Arabidopsis thaliana: one gene and its partners. The protein of the gene in region 1 binds, or shares a complex with, the protein of each later gene. Each region holds a gene or a part of one and is shown in the gene's direction. Other genes may lie near its edges.

Region 1 (3,875 bases):
GCCCTTGTGCTAGCATCATTATCAGCTTTGTTCATAGCCTTTCTAAACTTGGTTCGCCACTGGATAAAATAAATAAAACCGTGAGCAAAGCGTTTGACACCAAAAAGATTTGTAACAAGATAATGAAAGTTGAAGAGAATGTATGAAGACAACTATCCTTCTATACATCATCAAACCTAATATCACAACTAGAATGATTTAAGCCGATCCAAAGAGTTGATACAGTTAAGATTAGAGAAGCTTAGTAACGAATTCCAGAACAATGTATACTATAGTAGTTTCTTAAATAAAATATCACAGTTATTGCTGGATTATCATGATAATAACGCAAGTATTGCATTATAGTTGGCATTGAAAAGAGAATACCGAAAAAGGCACAGTACCTGTGTCACAGCTAATGTGAAAACGATATATGATCCAACGGAGAGAGAAGTAATCCAGGCAAAAGCAGCTCCAAACTTGTATGCCAGTATACCTGATACCATAGATATCTGAAAGATACATATTAATTACGTCGAGTGTTTTTAGAGACGAATGAATAGTGAAATCCAAATATGAATGAGCAACTGCCAATTATTCAAAATGAGAAAAAAAACAATGATCATGAGAAAGCACCAAGTGGTCAGACAAGCTTTACCTCCAATATGGTAGGAACAACATTGAAAACCATAGCTGAGAGGATAAAATTTATTGCACGGCTACCACGATCAATAATCCTGTTCAAGCCGCCTGTTTCTCGACTGGACATAAGCAATTAAGTAAGGAAGTTATGATGAGATGAATCTAAGATGGAATGAGCGAGACTACTCACAAGAGTAAGAGAGGAGAGATAGATACCTTAGGTGGTAACGAAGGTCAAGATCATGTAAATGTGAGAACACCTGCAAAGCGACCATATGAAATTGATTCATACATTAAAATATCTCTATCGACAAGATAGTTTAGAGCAGCAGCAGCATACCTTTCTAGAAACAGATCGTATTGTTCGGAGAGCTACCTTAGAGAACACAGCAGTACGAAGTTCTGCGATGATGAAAAGTAACAACCAAGAGTGAAAAGTGCATTCTTTTTTAAAGAAAACTAGAGCTATTGAGAGTTACCATTAAAAGCAGAAGAACCCGTCCGAGCAATCCCGTATCCAATGAGAACAGCAGCAGGAGTAGCAAAAACAGTAAGAAGAGTTGGGTTTGTAGCAGCGAAGGTGGTAAGTGAGGCTCCAGTACCGGTAGCTGAAGCAAGCCAATCAACAGCTAATTTGAAGAGGAAAGGGACTTGGACATTCAAGACCTTAGCACCCACGAGAAAACCCAAAGCAGCGATGACCCTGAAACGGAATTCTGGATTGTCTCTCATCCACAAATAGCCAGCAAGCGTACGGAGAATCTTCATGTCAGCCATAGCTGAGTCTGAATCCGACGAGGTTGTCTTGATTTCCTTAGTCTTGGTGGTGGTTTGGTCTGGATTGGGAGTAGAAGTCGAGAAGAGACGACCATTAAGCATTGAACTCCGTTGAACAAAACGAATTGGGGATGGTGATGGTGACGGGGATGGTGAGTTATCTGAGAGGAAGGCATTGATAACCGGAGATGTTCGAATTGAGTTACGTCTGATGTAATTGGAGAAACCATTATGAAGACGATAATCAGAGCGAAGACTGTAGGAAAAAGATGGGATTTTGGGTTGAGGTTGAAGATTAACGCGACAGAGTAAGAGCCCAGGAGCCCTAACGAATCGAGATCCTCTCGACATCCCTTCTTCTCCGAAAGTTTCACAGACTGAATTTTGCTCCGGCGAGCTAGCTAACAATGTCACGACGTTCGGCGGTGCTTAATGGGCCTAATAAATAAAGCCCAATACATTTTAAGCCCATTAATGTCTATCCCTTTGTGGAGTGAGTCGTCGTTTCTCCACCATTCTTTCATCATCATCGTCGTCAAGCAATGTTTATTATGAGCTACTTCCACAAGAAGTCATTGTTAGTAAAGAAATGGGAAGCCGTGCAATATGTATACAACGTGTGGCACCACCGTGTTTTGAAGCCTCGCAAGTGAAGAAGATCAAAACAGTTGGTTCCTTTTTGGTGAATACTAGGAGTAAGAGAAGAAGAAGCACTGGTGTGAAATGTAGCAGCATAGCTGACTACATCGGAGGTGACTTGGTGAAGCCGGACATCGGACAATGGCTTCAAGACGTGGAAGAACACAAGGCAATCGCCATTTACGCTCCTCATGAGGGTGGTTACGAAGGTCGTTATCTTAACCGTCTCAAAATGCAGGGCTACTACTTTCTTGACATCTCTGCTCGTGGCCTTGGTGACCCTGAGACTACCCTTCTCAAGAACTACCCTGTTTGCCCTGTATGTCTACTTTCATCCATCTTCTACTTTAATCTTGTTTCAATATAATTTTGTGTGAACCATGTATCTTCTCTTCTTTTAGGCTCATCTTGGGAAACAACCTATAGCAAGATGGTATTATCCACCAGAAGTTGATTACAGGCTCGCTGCTCTTCCCCCTAGTGCCAAGGGTCTTGTTGTATGGGTCCTCGAAGCAAAGGTTTGAGTTTCTCTCATTTGATCTGTTCTCCCACATGCTCTTTCTCATATTTCCATTTCACTCAGGTCCTCTCAAAATCGGAGCTTCAATTTCTCGCTTTACTTCCCTCTCTTCGTCCTAACGTCAGGGTTATTGCTGAATGTGGCAACTGGTGAGTATATCATTCCTTACCATACACACTAATCATCTATGTTTGCAATTTGCATGACCATTACCAATTCCCCTGCAGGAGAAAGTTCGTGTGGAAGCCTCTAGCAGAAATTGCAAATCTAGCTGCACAAGAGTAACTTAATGGCACAAGTGGAGCTACCAGTGTATAGTTTTTCATGAATGCATCTCCCGCAAGTGTAGCAATACTCATCCCATAGTAAAAGTTAAAATCTGTATTTGTAACTTGGTAGTATATTCCCATGGAGTAGTTAAAGATAATTTCTGACTCTGCTTTGTCACAAATAAAAGTATGTATAATCAGTAAGATTGATAGGACACGCTTAGATACAGACTACAGAGCAATCCAGAAGTACAACATAGAACACTTGATTCAGCAGAAACATGTGCAACTTACTTTGATCAACTCCAGTCACTAGACCTAACGAGTAACAACATGTTCCGAGTCCACAAATCGTTTTGAAAACCAAAAAATTCAGATCTTTTGCAAAGTTCTTCAGCGAGTAGGCATATTGCCCTCCTGTGACTAGACAACTTAATACCTAGAGCTTTAACTGAAGGTTCTTGCCAATATTCTCGTGAGAAATCAACAAATATGGTCACCCTTAAGACTTTGATGGAGCTAAATGTGAGGATGCTTTTTGTTGTCTAGTTCTATGCTTAACCTTGAGTCAGTGACGTATCAAACAGGCAACTTTGAGTAATAGAAGCTACACTAGGAAAGATATAGACTTGGATAATGAGCTCAGTAGTACAAAACTTTGAAGCACTAAGACAAAGCTGAGATTGGAGAATGCAAAAACAAGACAAAAAGCAAAGTTCTATACTGCAGATTCTTGGGTTACTTTAGGCAAGAAGGTATCCCACCATCCAGGTTCATACTTGGGGTATGGCGCCACCCAATTTTTAGGCTTATCGAACTCAAGAGTGGTAGGATTGGAGGCCAAAGCTTCATCAAGAGAGGTAGCTTCAAAGGAATCATACAGAACACGATCCAATCTTAACTTCATAAACCTGCCATAAAACAACAAATTGCAAAACACAAATGCGTTAGATAAGGAGGGAGTGAGGAACGTAATTTTGAAAAGAGAGAGATTGGGATTAGGGTTCTAACGTGATCCAGGTGCCATTGGTGGAAACAAGAGCAACAGC
Region 2 (3,902 bases), on another chromosome or scaffold:
GACATGATTACCTGATAGCGGGGGACAACGTAATATATAATGCGTTAGGAGACATGATTACCTATTAGCGGAGAACAATTGGAGCAAGACTTTTGTTTTAGTCTTCAGATCTTGTCCTCGAATAGAAATTCTCTTTTGCATCTACGTTTTGTCCTCGATTTCACCATCTTGCTCTATTATTATGAATCCTACATCTTATATGCAATTGTTCTCATTTAATAATTTTGAATTTTATTTAAATTTTTGCGATCTATTTTGATCCACAGATTAGTTGAGCGTTATTGTCTTCACCTACACGTTAACATATTTTAATAATATGTTATATCGGGACAAGTTCATATCGAATGAGTAATAGAATTGGATCGGGGACAAAGTCAGATCGAATGATAGACAAGATAATATGTAATAACTGAATATTTTTGTTGTTTTACAATAGAAGAAAAAAAAATCGTGTCGGTGAAAACAATAATGCTCAACTAATCTGTGGACCAAAATAGATGGTAAAAAATGATGAAATCAAGGACAAGATCTAGATACAACAGAAATATTGTGATGAATAAAATTGAGAGACAAATTTAATTGAAAGTTACATGTAAAGAATCTGTGCAGGTTGTCAAAGAAAGTGAGAGAGTGACAAAAGCGCTTCATCTTCGGGAAGATAATAATATATGGTTAAAGCGCACAGATTTCAAGGAAGGAGAGATAAAATAGAGAAGAAATGGAGAGGGACAAAATCGATATTTCAGTATGAAATATGACATGAGTTGTAAGGCCCAGCAAATTATGGCAGATTGCATAAGGATTGGAAAAAATATGGCATATGTTGTAATTTTTTCCTTTTTAAAAATAATCTAAATAATTCTATAATCAATATGTGAACGATATTATACTTTACAGATCTTTTTGTAACTTCACCTTAATTATGATAGACCTTGCAAACAAATAAATGCAACAAAAAATAGACACTAAAAAATCTCAACAACAATCTTTAAATTATAAAAAATCACATAAATATCTTCGGGATTCAAATTTTAATAATTATTTAAACGGATTTTCTAATTTATATCAAAACCAAATATATTGAATATAAAATATACAAATAGGAAATACATTAATTTAAAAGATACAAAATATTTAACAAGAAATTGTGTTATTTTTTGTTCAAAGAATTCGATATAAAATCTTCGAAACGATCCGATATTGATTCTTATTAGATTGAAATTGTTAAAATTTCAATATATTATACAATTTTTCTTTTTAAATTGAAATTGTAAACCGACTCGAAGTATATTAAATAAAAATATTATTAAAAAGAAAAAGAACAATTTGATTTTTAGTTATCACGGGACGGATTTATATGGCGGGACGGGTTTACAGGAGACGAGTTTACATGGTAGGACGGGTTTGGATGAGACGAGATTATATGGTGCTATGAGTTTAGATGGGAAAAATTTGGATACCACGGGTGTACTCCTAGAATTAACAATCAAATTACAACTATACAATAGTAAACAAAACAAACAATAATAACATAACAAATACAATTTTAATTTCAAATTTTTAGTTACAAAAAAATAAATAAAATCAACATTTTAGTATAAGTGTTAATCTTCTTTGACACCTCTAAATGTTATTCTTCTTTGATACATTTAAATGTGTAATTTTAATATAAAGTTACTAAACTACATATGTTCCATGGATTAAATTTGAAAACACCAAAAGTTTATATTAAATAATTTTTTTATAACAAATTATGAATAAAATAAAATATTATCCCGTGGTATGGTCTATCACAAGTCAAATCCTAAAAGATAAAATAACATATATTAGACTTATTAATATCATAATTGTGACTCAATAAAAAACATACACAACCTTATCGATAATTATTAATCATCACAAACAACAACAAACAACAAATTATATTTTGTGATAAAGAAAAATAAATAAATAAATTTAATTTACGGTATATCGCGGGTCATATCCTAATTATGATACAATTGTCTATTTTTACCCTATATATATTACAAACGCACACATTTGTTGCATAACATATTTAGACATCGCTTCCAAAGAAAGAAATCATTTATCTCTACATTATTTCTTCCTCTCATTGCCCCTCTCTTCTCAACGTTTTGTCTCTTATATCTTTACGTTTCATACTTTTTTTTTGTTGACATTTAATTATTTAAATTTTTTGTTCCTATGGACACTAGATAGGACAACAAAAGATATAAAGAAAATCTACACCACACATATCATGAGGTTCTGGAACAAGTTTCTGCGGTAAGAGAAACCAAAAACATGAAGGGCAGAAAAAAAAAGAACAAACCATCTTCAACACAGAGCCATGGCTTATGCAACTTCTACCTATGCACGAACCTCATGCATTATCCTACCCAAAATCCAAAACGGCGCGCATTTCACGGATGACACGAAAGCATTTAGAAGGATAACAGCAAGAAGAGTGACGCGTATATACGCGTCACAAGGCCCGACTAAACCGTCAAAACCATCTCCAGGAGTAGACACAAGAATCCACTGGGAAAGCCCGGACGAAGGCTGGATCGGAGGAAGATCCGACCCGGCCAAATCGGTTGATGAGGACAAAACCAATCTCCTTAGTGACGAAAAATTTGCAGAACTAATCAAAGACTCTTTTGATTCTCATTACCAGTGAGCAAAACAAACATTCTCATTACATATCTTTTTATTTTTATTTTTCAATATGTATTGTAACATGTAACAATAATCATTTTCAGATTCTTAGGTGTTTCAACGGATGCTGATCTAGAAGAGATAAAATCTGCGTACCGGAGATTATCTAAAGAGTATCATCCAGATACAACTTCACTACCACTTAAAACAGCTTCAGAAAAGTTCATGAAATTAAGAGAAGTGTACAATGTTTTGAGCGATGAAGAGACTCGGAGGTTTTATGACTGGACACTGGCTCAAGAAGTTGCGAGTCGTCAAGCTGAGAAAATGAGAATGAAGCTAGAGGATCCGAAAGAGCAAGATTTTAGGGGCTATGAATCAATACCTGATATGGTTGACCGGTTAGGTGGAAGAAACATGGAGCTTAGTGATCAAGCAATGACTGCTCTCACGTTCGATATTTTGATCGTATTATTCGCTGTTTGTTGTATAGCTTTTGTGATTGTTTTCAAAGATCCTTCTTACTAGGTAAGGAGCTTTGTATATACTTGGAAAATTCATATAGTTTATATGTAGATGGAAGATTAACAATTACAGATTATAAGATCATTTGAACTAAAATAAAGTGGTCTAGTGGTTCTGTTCCTCACCTTTTTTGTGTGTGTGTTATTTTTGGATTTTTTCTAAGCTATCCAAACATTGTTTTAGAGCTATATTTTGTTATGCTTACCTAGCTAATCCAAATAGTCTCATTTATATAAAACAAAGCGAACAAAATAGTAGTTTTGATAACTAATGCGGAATTCACTAGTTTGGGAAGTATAGTAGGAATAAAAACTAGGGAGATTTGCAAAACTACCCTTTTTTCACTACCTTTTGCAACAATACCCTTTTATCAAGTCTTATATATATGTAGCACCTGACTCAATCCTCCTTAGACGTGTTCCTTAGAACTGTTCGATGCACATTTTGACTACGTTTTTTTTTCTTTTTTTCCTAAGATGTAAATATTTCACTAAAAATGAAAACAGTTTAAGAGTATAATCAAAAGACTATAAATGGTCCCATGACAAAAGAAAAACATGAAGCATAATTTATCAAGCAAACTTCAGTCCATCCGCATAACAAACGCACATAAGCTAATAGAACTAGATGAAGTGATAAAGGATTTTGTTGTTCTTTCAGACTAGTTTGAGTAAATGAAGGGTGATAGCACGTGAAGAAGCCAAAATTGTCTGCACACT
Region 3 (4,954 bases), about 19 Mb from region 1:
TTCGGCCATGTCTCCGATCACTAACAGTGGTTTATTGGACTTGATTTGAGAAGAATCCGTGGTTGCAGTAGAAGCTTCTAGGGTTTTGAAGCAGCTTGAAGTGGGAGAGAGGAGAGAGAGACGTGAGACACGCACGACACACAGACTCTTCAAGTAGTGGGAGCGTCTTTATAGAAAAGTGAGTGGCGCGACTTACAAATAAAACCGTCCAGCTTCCCGGCCCCAATTTCGTAACTCACAGGCCCATCTGTGTTATTAGAGCAACCCTAATGGTTAAACTTTTAATAGGTTTTTTCCAATTTTTTTAATTTTAAAATTTGAGATTTGAATTTAAGAGATTTTGTTGGTCTCTTAATTTTTCTTGGTTTAATGGTAGAAATTTTTAGTGAGTTTCTTATAGTAAAAAATATTATTAAAATGAAAATTATAAATATTCTATTTTATAAAATTTAATAATTAATACAAATACTAAAATTTTAAACCTACAAGAAATGAATATTGAGAATCGGAATAACAATTAGTAGTTAGTTTGATTCCCACCAAATTTGTGTTATATATGCTCAACCAAATCACCTTTCAATTGTTGATGCATAGCCCGATCACGAACTCGAGCACGAGAGACCATAAAATTACCGAGATTTGAAGACATATCTGTAGAGTAGTTAAAATAACTTGTGAAGAGATGGTTGATTCTGGTAGTATGAATTTAGATGCACCAAACGATTTTTTTCAATTTAGTCTTTGATTTGATTATTACGCCCTATGATGAGGAGCTCGACACATATCATCTTTCATCAACATTGACATCGCCATCGTAAATGGAAATAACGAAATGAAAACAATTCAACCGAAATGAAAAGAAAAAAATTGGGTCATATTTTTCCTTCTCTTCCCTCTCCACCAATAGAAGTTTGCCATGTAGGGTCCCTTTGTTGTTTGAAAAATACCGTAAGAGAGAAACAACCCTCTCAATTAAACTGATTTCTAATTTATTTTGGGCTATATAATTCAAGGGACCAACCCTCAAAAGCCCCTTAGAGGCTGCCGTTGGAGTTGGTCTCAGATACAAGGTTTAATTAGTTTTAACTTGCTCTAAAGCCTCTCTACTATAACTTTATTACATTTTGTTTAGTAACAAATGACATTCCCTCTTTTTCTCCCTTTTTGAAATAAATATTCTTTAGATTTACACAATTTTGTTGTTTTTTAGAACTGTTCATCGAAAAATTTCGTCATATTGTCACTAAACTTTTGTAACTTCTAAGAAATTTCCAATATGTTTTCAAAATTTTACCATATAAATACTAATTTTAAGAGAAAATTTGTATCAATAATATGGATTAAAACATGAAGTTAGATTTTTTTTAAAAAGCTTAAAGCCCAATTTTTTTAAAAAAATTGCAAATAATCAGTCTTGAGAATTGAGCATGTTACCAATTCATGTTATACGGAATTAACACTGAACTATATTTCGTTTAACCGTTAAATTATACATGGTACAAAAAAATTGATGTCGTTTACTACTATATAAATATTGTTGATGCCTTTTACTTGCTTGAGCCCAAGATCAACTCTACCTTCTATTTCCGTAATGAATGACAACATATAATCTTATAACTGTATTAATTTATAATTTTTTTATATGACTCGGTTAATTTCCGCGCGATGCATATTTTGTTTTGAAAAAATATTTTTGATTTGTATTTATGGTTTTATTTTCTTATATTAAATAAATATCAGAAATAGTGAACACACTATTTTCTTATAGTAGGTTTGTATTTTAGTTTATGAGATTAGTGTCATTTTGATACGATGAGTTTTTCTTTGTTTGCACTTTGCACAGGTAAATATGCTTCATAGGATCGGCTGACCTGACCCACTCAAAATTGACTCGATGCGAAGCCACGTAACCGGCAGGGGCATAACTGTAAATAACCATGGAATGTATTTCTCAGACTCTTTCGTGCTATCACTCGCTCATCGTCACCTTCACCTTCACCTACCATTTTTGCCAACAAACGCGAGCAAGAGTTTTGAGCTCCAATGGCGACCTTGTCGATGACTCTGGTGCGTTTAATTTTTCCCTTTTGTACTTTTGATTTTGTTTTACCTTTCCGCTTCTTCTGCTTCTCCTGCTCTAATTTTCGGTTATCATCATAGTCAAATCCGAAGTCGCTCTCAGCTCCTCCACGAAGACTTTCTCCGATCAATACCTCCGCTTTCACATCTACCTCTTTCCGATTGCGCACCAAATCTTCCTTCGATTCAATCTCGTTCTCGTCTTCAACTCCCTTCTCCGCCTCATCGCTCCTCCTTCACACGTCTTATACCAAAAGAAACCACCGCTGTTTCTCTGTTCAATCCAATGCTGAGGTTAGGGATTCTCTCATATCTTGTTAGTCACTGATGTCATTTGATGGAATTGGTTGTTTTATTCAGCTTACTCTTAGTTTTTTTTTTCCATTAGATTTACTAAAAGCTATGGAATCATAATATGATGTGGATTTTGTATTCCAGGTGGTTACTGAACCGCAATCGAAAATAACACACAAGGTGTATTTCGATATAAGTGTTGGCAATCCAGTGGGGAAGTTAGCTGGGAGGATTGTTATTGGATTGTATGGTGATGATGTTCCCCAAACTGTGGAGAACTTTCGTGCTCTATGCACAGGTGAAAAGGGATTTGGCTACAAGGGTTCTACATTCCATCGTGTCATCAGAGATTTCATGATTCAGGGAGGAGACTTTGAGAAGGGCAATGTGAGTTTTTCTGGCTGAATTCCTTGGCAGCACCAGTTTCTTGTTAGCTGACTTGCGGTCCATATTATGTTTCTTTTGATTTACTTTGGTTCATCTTATTTTCTGCCAAATCACAAAGTAAAGTAAGCTGTCTCATATCAGGATGGCAGGATGTTTATTAATTTCTTGGATGTGGTACATAGTATAAGTCAAATCTTTCTCGATAAGGAAGGATGCTTAAGTTCTTACTTGTACGGATTTAGAGTCGCTCTTGAAAGCACATGTTTGGGTACATTAATAGGAAAAAGCCTGACCTTTGGAGAGCTTTCTACAGACAATCTTTCTGATAGCTGGCTCTCTGATTTGTAGATCAGTGGCTTTAGAAGAACAACCCCTGTTAATCTTAGACTTTTGTTCTTTTCTATATAGATAATACCTGGGCTGTAGGGAACTTATATACTGGTTCGTGGGTATGCAACTAGCTGTAGCTCGGTAGAAATATATTGTTATTTTCTGTTTCTGCCCATCTCAGTTACCGAAGATTCTTCTAGTAACTGCTAGGAGAATTCCATAATAATGATACAGAAGTCTAATTGTTGAGCAGGGAACTGGAGGTAAAAGTGTATATGGCCGTACATTCAAGGATGAGAATTTCAAGTGTAAGTCTATCCTTTTTCACTTGTTTCCTTCTTCTTCATTCTCCCCAGCTGTGCTTTAGCATTCATATTTATCAGTGGTAATGCATTTTAACTAAACATTTCTGCATTCTCTTTTTAGCTGAGCTGAGTATAATATATACCAAACCTTCAGTTTTATAAAATTCATGAAAGTAATAATGTGCTATACGCTGCAGTATCCCATGTCGGACCAGGAGTTCTAAGTATGGCAAATGCTGGCCCTAATACAAATGGAAGTCAGTTCTTTATCTGCACTATTAAGGTAAAATCTCCCTCTGGTTAAGGCCTATTGTTAAATTAGAAGTTATACGTAGGCAAGCGAGCATCAACAATAAAGAACACAGGTATTACAGTATATAGAATCCAATAATATAACCTAAAGAGTAGAGTTTTGAAATTGGAAACGAAGAACCATCCAAGCTTTGTTGGGAAATTTAGTGTATATCAAATTAATATGCGATAACGATGTGGACAGACGTCATGGTTGGACGGAAGACATGTGGTGTTCGGGCAAGTAATAGAAGGAATGGAAGTGGTGAAGCTGATAGAGGAACAAGAGACAGACAGAGGAGACCGTCCCAGAAAGAAAGTGGTGATAGCAGACTGTGGTCAACTTCCAATGTCTGAAGCTTAAAAGTAAGATCATTTAACCAAAATCTTGTAGACATGAGATGGAGCTTGTTTTTGCATTTTACAACCCTTTCTTTTGTGTAATGGATTTGTATCCCCTTCTTCCAAAAATTTAAGAAAGAAATAGTATTCCGCTGCCGGGTGTTGAACTCATATTTCATTTCATTGGTTTGTTTCGAAATTAACCATTGTGTTATAGCGGTTCAGTTGCATTACTAAGATACAAAATCTGAAGATTCAAGAGTAGTCGATGCAGTTGTGAAATTGGTCTGTGTAATACAGCGGATTTGTTGGTTTGGTATACGAGCAATTTGTATTTAAAGTCCGATCTCTTCATAAAAAAGTAAGAACAACAATTGAAACAAAAAATATTCCGCTGCCCGGATTTGATCCCGGATTTCATTTTGAGTAGTGAAATTGGCCTGTGTGCTACAGCGGACTTGTTTGATTTATATACGAGGGATTTGTTTTTAAAGTCTGATATCTTATTGAAAACAATACTAATTAAAATAATAAGTATTCCGCTGCCGGGGTTTGATCCCGGATTTCATATTGAGTAGTGAAATTGGCCTGTGTGCTACAGCGGACTTTTTGGTTTTGTATATGAGTGATTTGTATTTAAAGTCTGATATCTTATTGAAAACTAACTAATTGAACCAAAAAGTATTACGCTGCCGAGGTTTGAGCCCGGATTTCAAATTCTGTTGTGAAATTGGCATGTGTGCTACAGCGGACTTGTTGAACATGTATCCGATCAATTTGTATATAAAGTCTGCTTTCAGATTAATGAACAATATAATTACTTGTACCTATCACATGTTTGTATTTTAGTGTTCTTTCTTTTTGGTCAACCTTTTCTAGATACAAGATATCTCTGAATACTAGAAGAGCACACCATAAAAAGAAGA
Region 4 (3,964 bases), on another chromosome or scaffold:
TTTGGTCTTGGTATGATGCAGACTCCATCTACTAATCCTCCTACTACAACGGCAGCGGCTAACGGGAACATAAACACCGGTGATAATGGAAGCTACGGTGGCTCCGATCATGAACATAATAATGACGGTACTTGGTTATCTTCGTCTTCCGACCAGAGAACATAAATATATTTATGTATAGTCCAAGTCCGAAATCAAAGCTAATCTCTTGACATGATTACTCAACAAATTAAACATAGCACATATAGCATGATGAAGTTACTCGTTTATATATTCTATATTTCAGTATAAACCACTTTAAAACTTTTTTCGTGTAGGGTTTGTTAATTATTTAATACTTAATTAATATGCTTGTTATTTGTTAATCTTAGTTTTTTCCATAACTATATGTTGGTAAGTATTAGTTAGTAGATGGATCTCACCATTTGAATCAGATTTTCTTGGTATATTTTCTTATAATTATATAGAACTTTTAAATTTTAATGACAACGATGACTTGCGATATGAAATTTTAATTTTTCAACAATCAATATACAGTACGTGGTTTTGGGATCACTACGGTTAATATTTCTCCTAATTAATATTGGAGTGAATGGTGGCGAAATTTGGGGAATCTTCCACGGCCGCCGGATTGTGGAATATGGTTTTGGGACCATAGTATATAATTATTAATTAATTATAGACTTGTGGTGATTTGAAATTTGATAAATTACTGTTCTCCCATGTGCTTATTCATTTTTGGTGTATCATCTACATTAACGTCAATTTTTATTGACTTGACTCTCATTTTACCATACCAACAGATTTGAAATTTGAAAATTTCCCAAGCAAAAGAAAAACAGGTAATCAATAATGATAATTATACATACATTTTGGTTTTGACCTACTTTTGTCATATGACAATTTATCTTTATAGACACTTTTACTTCTATTATTATAAGTCTCTTTGTTTGTGAATAGGGGCAAATTTCATTTGACCGCCTCCGACAACCATTGACCTTGTCACGGCTCTGAATGTGATGCGTCTACAAAATTCCTAACTTTTTTCAGTCTTCTCATTAACCAATCAATCGTTAGAATATTCAGCTTAATTTATATCTCTTTCTAGTCTCTAGCTTAACAACACTTCAGAATGAAATGTCAGTTCTTTGTAAGCGGGGTTTTCAATAATATCATTTGCTACTGTATAGTATAATAGTAACTCTTAAAAATAATAATTCTTGTTTTTCACAATAAGATTTGATGATGGATTGATGGTCGCAAAACAAATAATGACATTTGATGAAAAATCTTTTGCTTGTTCTTGTGTATACAAAAGTTCAAATGATTTTGATATTTTTTTGTCCACGGACCAGTTACACTTAAGTCACCAATGCACTGTATAACCTATACACATCACTTACATAAACTATCAACAATGTGCATATATGTGTATCTCTATCTAAATGGAATATATAATAATGGGTGATGATGATGGTTTAATATTATGGTGGTGGTTATGGTGGACCATGATATCAAGCTATTGTCGCACTGATGGGTTTTCTATGTATTCAGATGATACTCGGTTTCATAGTTGAGTGATAACTAGGTCTGGCCATTATCTTACTATCCAAATAATTCGATTCGGGTTCTCAATTTTGTGGGCCGATTGGCTCCAAAAGTTTCATTATTATTTTTGTTCTGTTGAAAATAGAAATCCAAAAAAATACGGGTGGGTCCCATAATCATATCCATTGTACCGTTGCACACTCAAAAGACAAAAGATTCAGACCAAAGGCTCTGGCTTCACGCAGATAAGGAAGCAGAGATCGAAACGAAGACTCAAAGAAGAATGGCGATTTCTACTTTAACACTCACACAATCTCTCTATACACGTTCCTTCAGACCAACCATCTTCTTTTCTTCTTCTTCTTCCTCGTCCTTTTCGTGTCTCTGTTCTTCTTCCTCCGATTGCGAGCCGAAACTCTCCGTCAAGAAACGCGTTTTCGGAGTGGGTTTAGGGTTCCTAGCTTCTTCGATTCTCTCTCTAACGCCTCTGGACGCAGACGCCACGAGGATTGACTACTACGCCACTGTAGGAGATCCTCTCTGCGAATACAGCTACGCAAAATCAGGACTTGGATTTTGCGATCTCGATGTTGGATTTGGTGATGAAGCCCCTCGTGGCGTACTCGTCAATGTAATCTCTCCATCTCTCTAATTTCCTCTGTTTAGGGTTTTTGATTCAAAGTTTGAGACTTTGGAGAGTTGGTCACACACACACAGATCCATTACACGGCGAGGTTTGCAGATGGAACGTTGTTTGACAGTAGCTATAAGCGTGCAAGACCACTTACTATGCGAATTGGAGTCGGCAAGGTACAACAAAGAACCATTGTCTCTCTCTCTCTTTGTTAGCTTCCATAGTCTTCAATTGCATTGCTAGCAAAGTTCACACTTGTCTTTGTTGAAGTTAGTTAGTTTCTTATGTTCTTCTTTGTGATTAGGGTGAGCAAAACAACTATATATCTAAACTCTTGATGTCCAAAAATGATCAGGTAATTAGGGGACTAGACCAGGGGATTCTTGGAGGCGAAGGAGTACCTCCTATGCGAGTAGGCAAGTGTACTGTATTTTCCTTTGTTCAATGTCCTTTATTTGGCTGATAACATATTGGTGCGGTTTTATTTTGCAGGCGGAAAGCGTAAACTTCAGATTCCACCTAAGTTAGCTTATGGACCAGAGCCTGCAGGATGCTTTTCTGGTACTTGCACAATTCCTCTGTAACAGTTTCACTTGTATATGTAAGATATGTATCTCGAGTAATAAATCGACTCTTTATGCAGGTGACTGCAACATACCTGGCAATGCAACTTTGCTCTATGATATCAACTTTGTTGAGATCTACCCAGGAAGTAATACAAGATGAAGCCAACTCCAATCCCGTTTGGTAAAGGAACAAACAACTATGTATGTGATGTATATCACCAGGTGATTACTTTTGACAAGCTTCAGATTATAATTTCTGTAACCTAAAACATTGATGATTTCCAACTGAATCCAATGTCTAACCTCCTATTAAAGAACAAGACACATCTTCTCTGTGCAGATCTGTCTTTTTGTTAAGTTATGACCTTGGAAAATCATATACTTGCATAAATGTATAAGCGCGTGTTAGGTTAGATTCAGTCTTGGTAAGTGATGCAGCTTGTGTCACAAAGATGTACAGAGTCTAGAATAAAGTTGTGTGATGTGGTTTTTCATCGGTGTCATATCTCTGTAATTGGTCCCCTCACAACAACTCATGAATCTTAAGGCCAAAAAAAGTGTAAAACTTTGGTTCTTGCCTACTTGAGCATGTTGAAAATACATAAGACAAATCTTCATTTTTCGATTTTCCAGGAAAAACACAGTGCATGAGCTAATTTACAGCGTACCGGAGGTTCTTAAAGGCTGATGTTAGGCCATCCTCAATGGAGGGTTCTAAGATAAATGAGGTTTTTAAAGAAATCATATATATGAAAGTTGGCCAACTCTCTCCATATGGGTGACACATCATCACATAAGAAAATATCATGTGTCATTTAATATTGATTAAATTAAAATTAGCAAAATTAATTGAGAGAAAATAAAAAATCTCATATTGTGTTAAATCCTCCATTAATTCATTTCTTAAATGATTTTTTCAAAATATAAATATAAATAAAATTACTTATTTAAATAAATCAATTACTACTTTTATTTTACTTTTATTATTTTTTATTTTTAAAAATTTTAATGGTCAATGGTCATCACTCTATAATGACTAAATAGTTGTTTATGTTGTAGTTTATTTGTTTGCTACCTAATATTAGTGTAGTTATTTTACCTTGATTTTTTAATTATTATTACGTTATGGTTCATATCTTATCATATGAAATTCTGTATTTTTATTTTTGTATCTTTAGGTAAGTTCGTAACATTGACATTCAATATTTTTAAGTAA

Evidence for each region.
Region 2: NdhN (region 1) and NdhT share a complex: the UniProt entries of both Arabidopsis thaliana proteins name them as parts of the chloroplast NDH complex.
Region 3: NdhN (region 1) and Pnsl5 share a complex: the UniProt entries of both Arabidopsis thaliana proteins name them as parts of the chloroplast NDH complex.
Region 4: NdhN (region 1) and PnsL4 share a complex: the UniProt entries of both Arabidopsis thaliana proteins name them as parts of the chloroplast NDH complex.

What each region holds. Positions count from the first base shown.
Region 1 is NC_003076.8:23,560,042-23,563,916, reverse strand, and holds NdhN (oxidoreductases, acting on NADH or NADPH, quinone or similar compound as acceptor), read left to right. Parts: upstream 1-1,915; 5' UTR 1,916-1,987; coding exon 1,988-2,356; intron 2,357-2,438; coding exon 2,439-2,555; coding exon of another isoform or gene 2,556-2,561; exon of another isoform or gene 2,562-2,620; coding exon 2,621-2,706; intron 2,707-2,784; coding exon 2,785-2,842; 3' UTR 2,843-3,349; downstream 3,350-3,875. Other genes in the region: ABCB25 (ABC transporter of the mitochondrion 3), read right to left, coding at 1-59, 384-491, 638-740, 838-881, 962-1,023, 1,101-1,749; EMB3143 (YCF54), read right to left, coding at 3,545-3,737, 3,838-3,875. UniProt on the Arabidopsis thaliana protein: NDH shuttles electrons from NAD(P)H:plastoquinone, via FMN and iron-sulfur (Fe-S) centers, to quinones in the photosynthetic chain and possibly in a chloroplast respiratory chain.
Region 2 is NC_003075.7:5,930,601-5,934,502, reverse strand, and holds NdhT (Chaperone DnaJ-domain superfamily protein), read left to right. Parts: upstream 1-2,027; 5' UTR 2,028-2,350; coding exon 2,351-2,676; intron 2,677-2,762; coding exon 2,763-3,186; 3' UTR 3,187-3,393; downstream 3,394-3,902. UniProt on the Arabidopsis thaliana protein: NDH shuttles electrons from NAD(P)H:plastoquinone, via FMN and iron-sulfur (Fe-S) centers, to quinones in the photosynthetic chain and possibly in a chloroplast respiratory chain.
Region 3 is NC_003076.8:4,161,810-4,166,763, reverse strand, and holds Pnsl5 (cyclophilin 20-2), read left to right. Parts: upstream 1-1,840; 5' UTR 1,841-2,043; coding exon 2,044-2,067; intron 2,068-2,160; coding exon 2,161-2,373; intron 2,374-2,517; coding exon 2,518-2,760; intron 2,761-3,343; coding exon 3,344-3,398; intron 3,399-3,592; coding exon 3,593-3,678; intron 3,679-3,891; coding exon 3,892-4,050; 3' UTR 4,051-4,390; downstream 4,391-4,954. Other genes in the region: AT5G13130 (Histidine kinase-, DNA gyrase B-, and HSP90-like ATPase family protein), read right to left, coding at 1-9. UniProt on the Arabidopsis thaliana protein: NDH shuttles electrons from NAD(P)H:plastoquinone, via FMN and iron-sulfur (Fe-S) centers, to quinones in the photosynthetic chain and possibly in a chloroplast respiratory chain.
Region 4 is NC_003075.7:18,426,193-18,430,156, reverse strand, and holds PnsL4 (FK506-binding protein 16-2), read left to right. Parts: upstream 1-1,578; 5' UTR 1,579-1,831; coding exon 1,832-2,179; intron 2,180-2,265; coding exon 2,266-2,358; intron 2,359-2,537; coding exon 2,538-2,598; intron 2,599-2,674; coding exon 2,675-2,743; intron 2,744-2,825; coding exon 2,826-2,908; 3' UTR 2,909-3,400; downstream 3,401-3,964. Other genes in the region: AT4G39720 (VQ motif-containing protein), read left to right, coding at 1-127, 804-842, 961-977. UniProt on the Arabidopsis thaliana protein: NDH shuttles electrons from NAD(P)H:plastoquinone, via FMN and iron-sulfur (Fe-S) centers, to quinones in the photosynthetic chain and possibly in a chloroplast respiratory chain.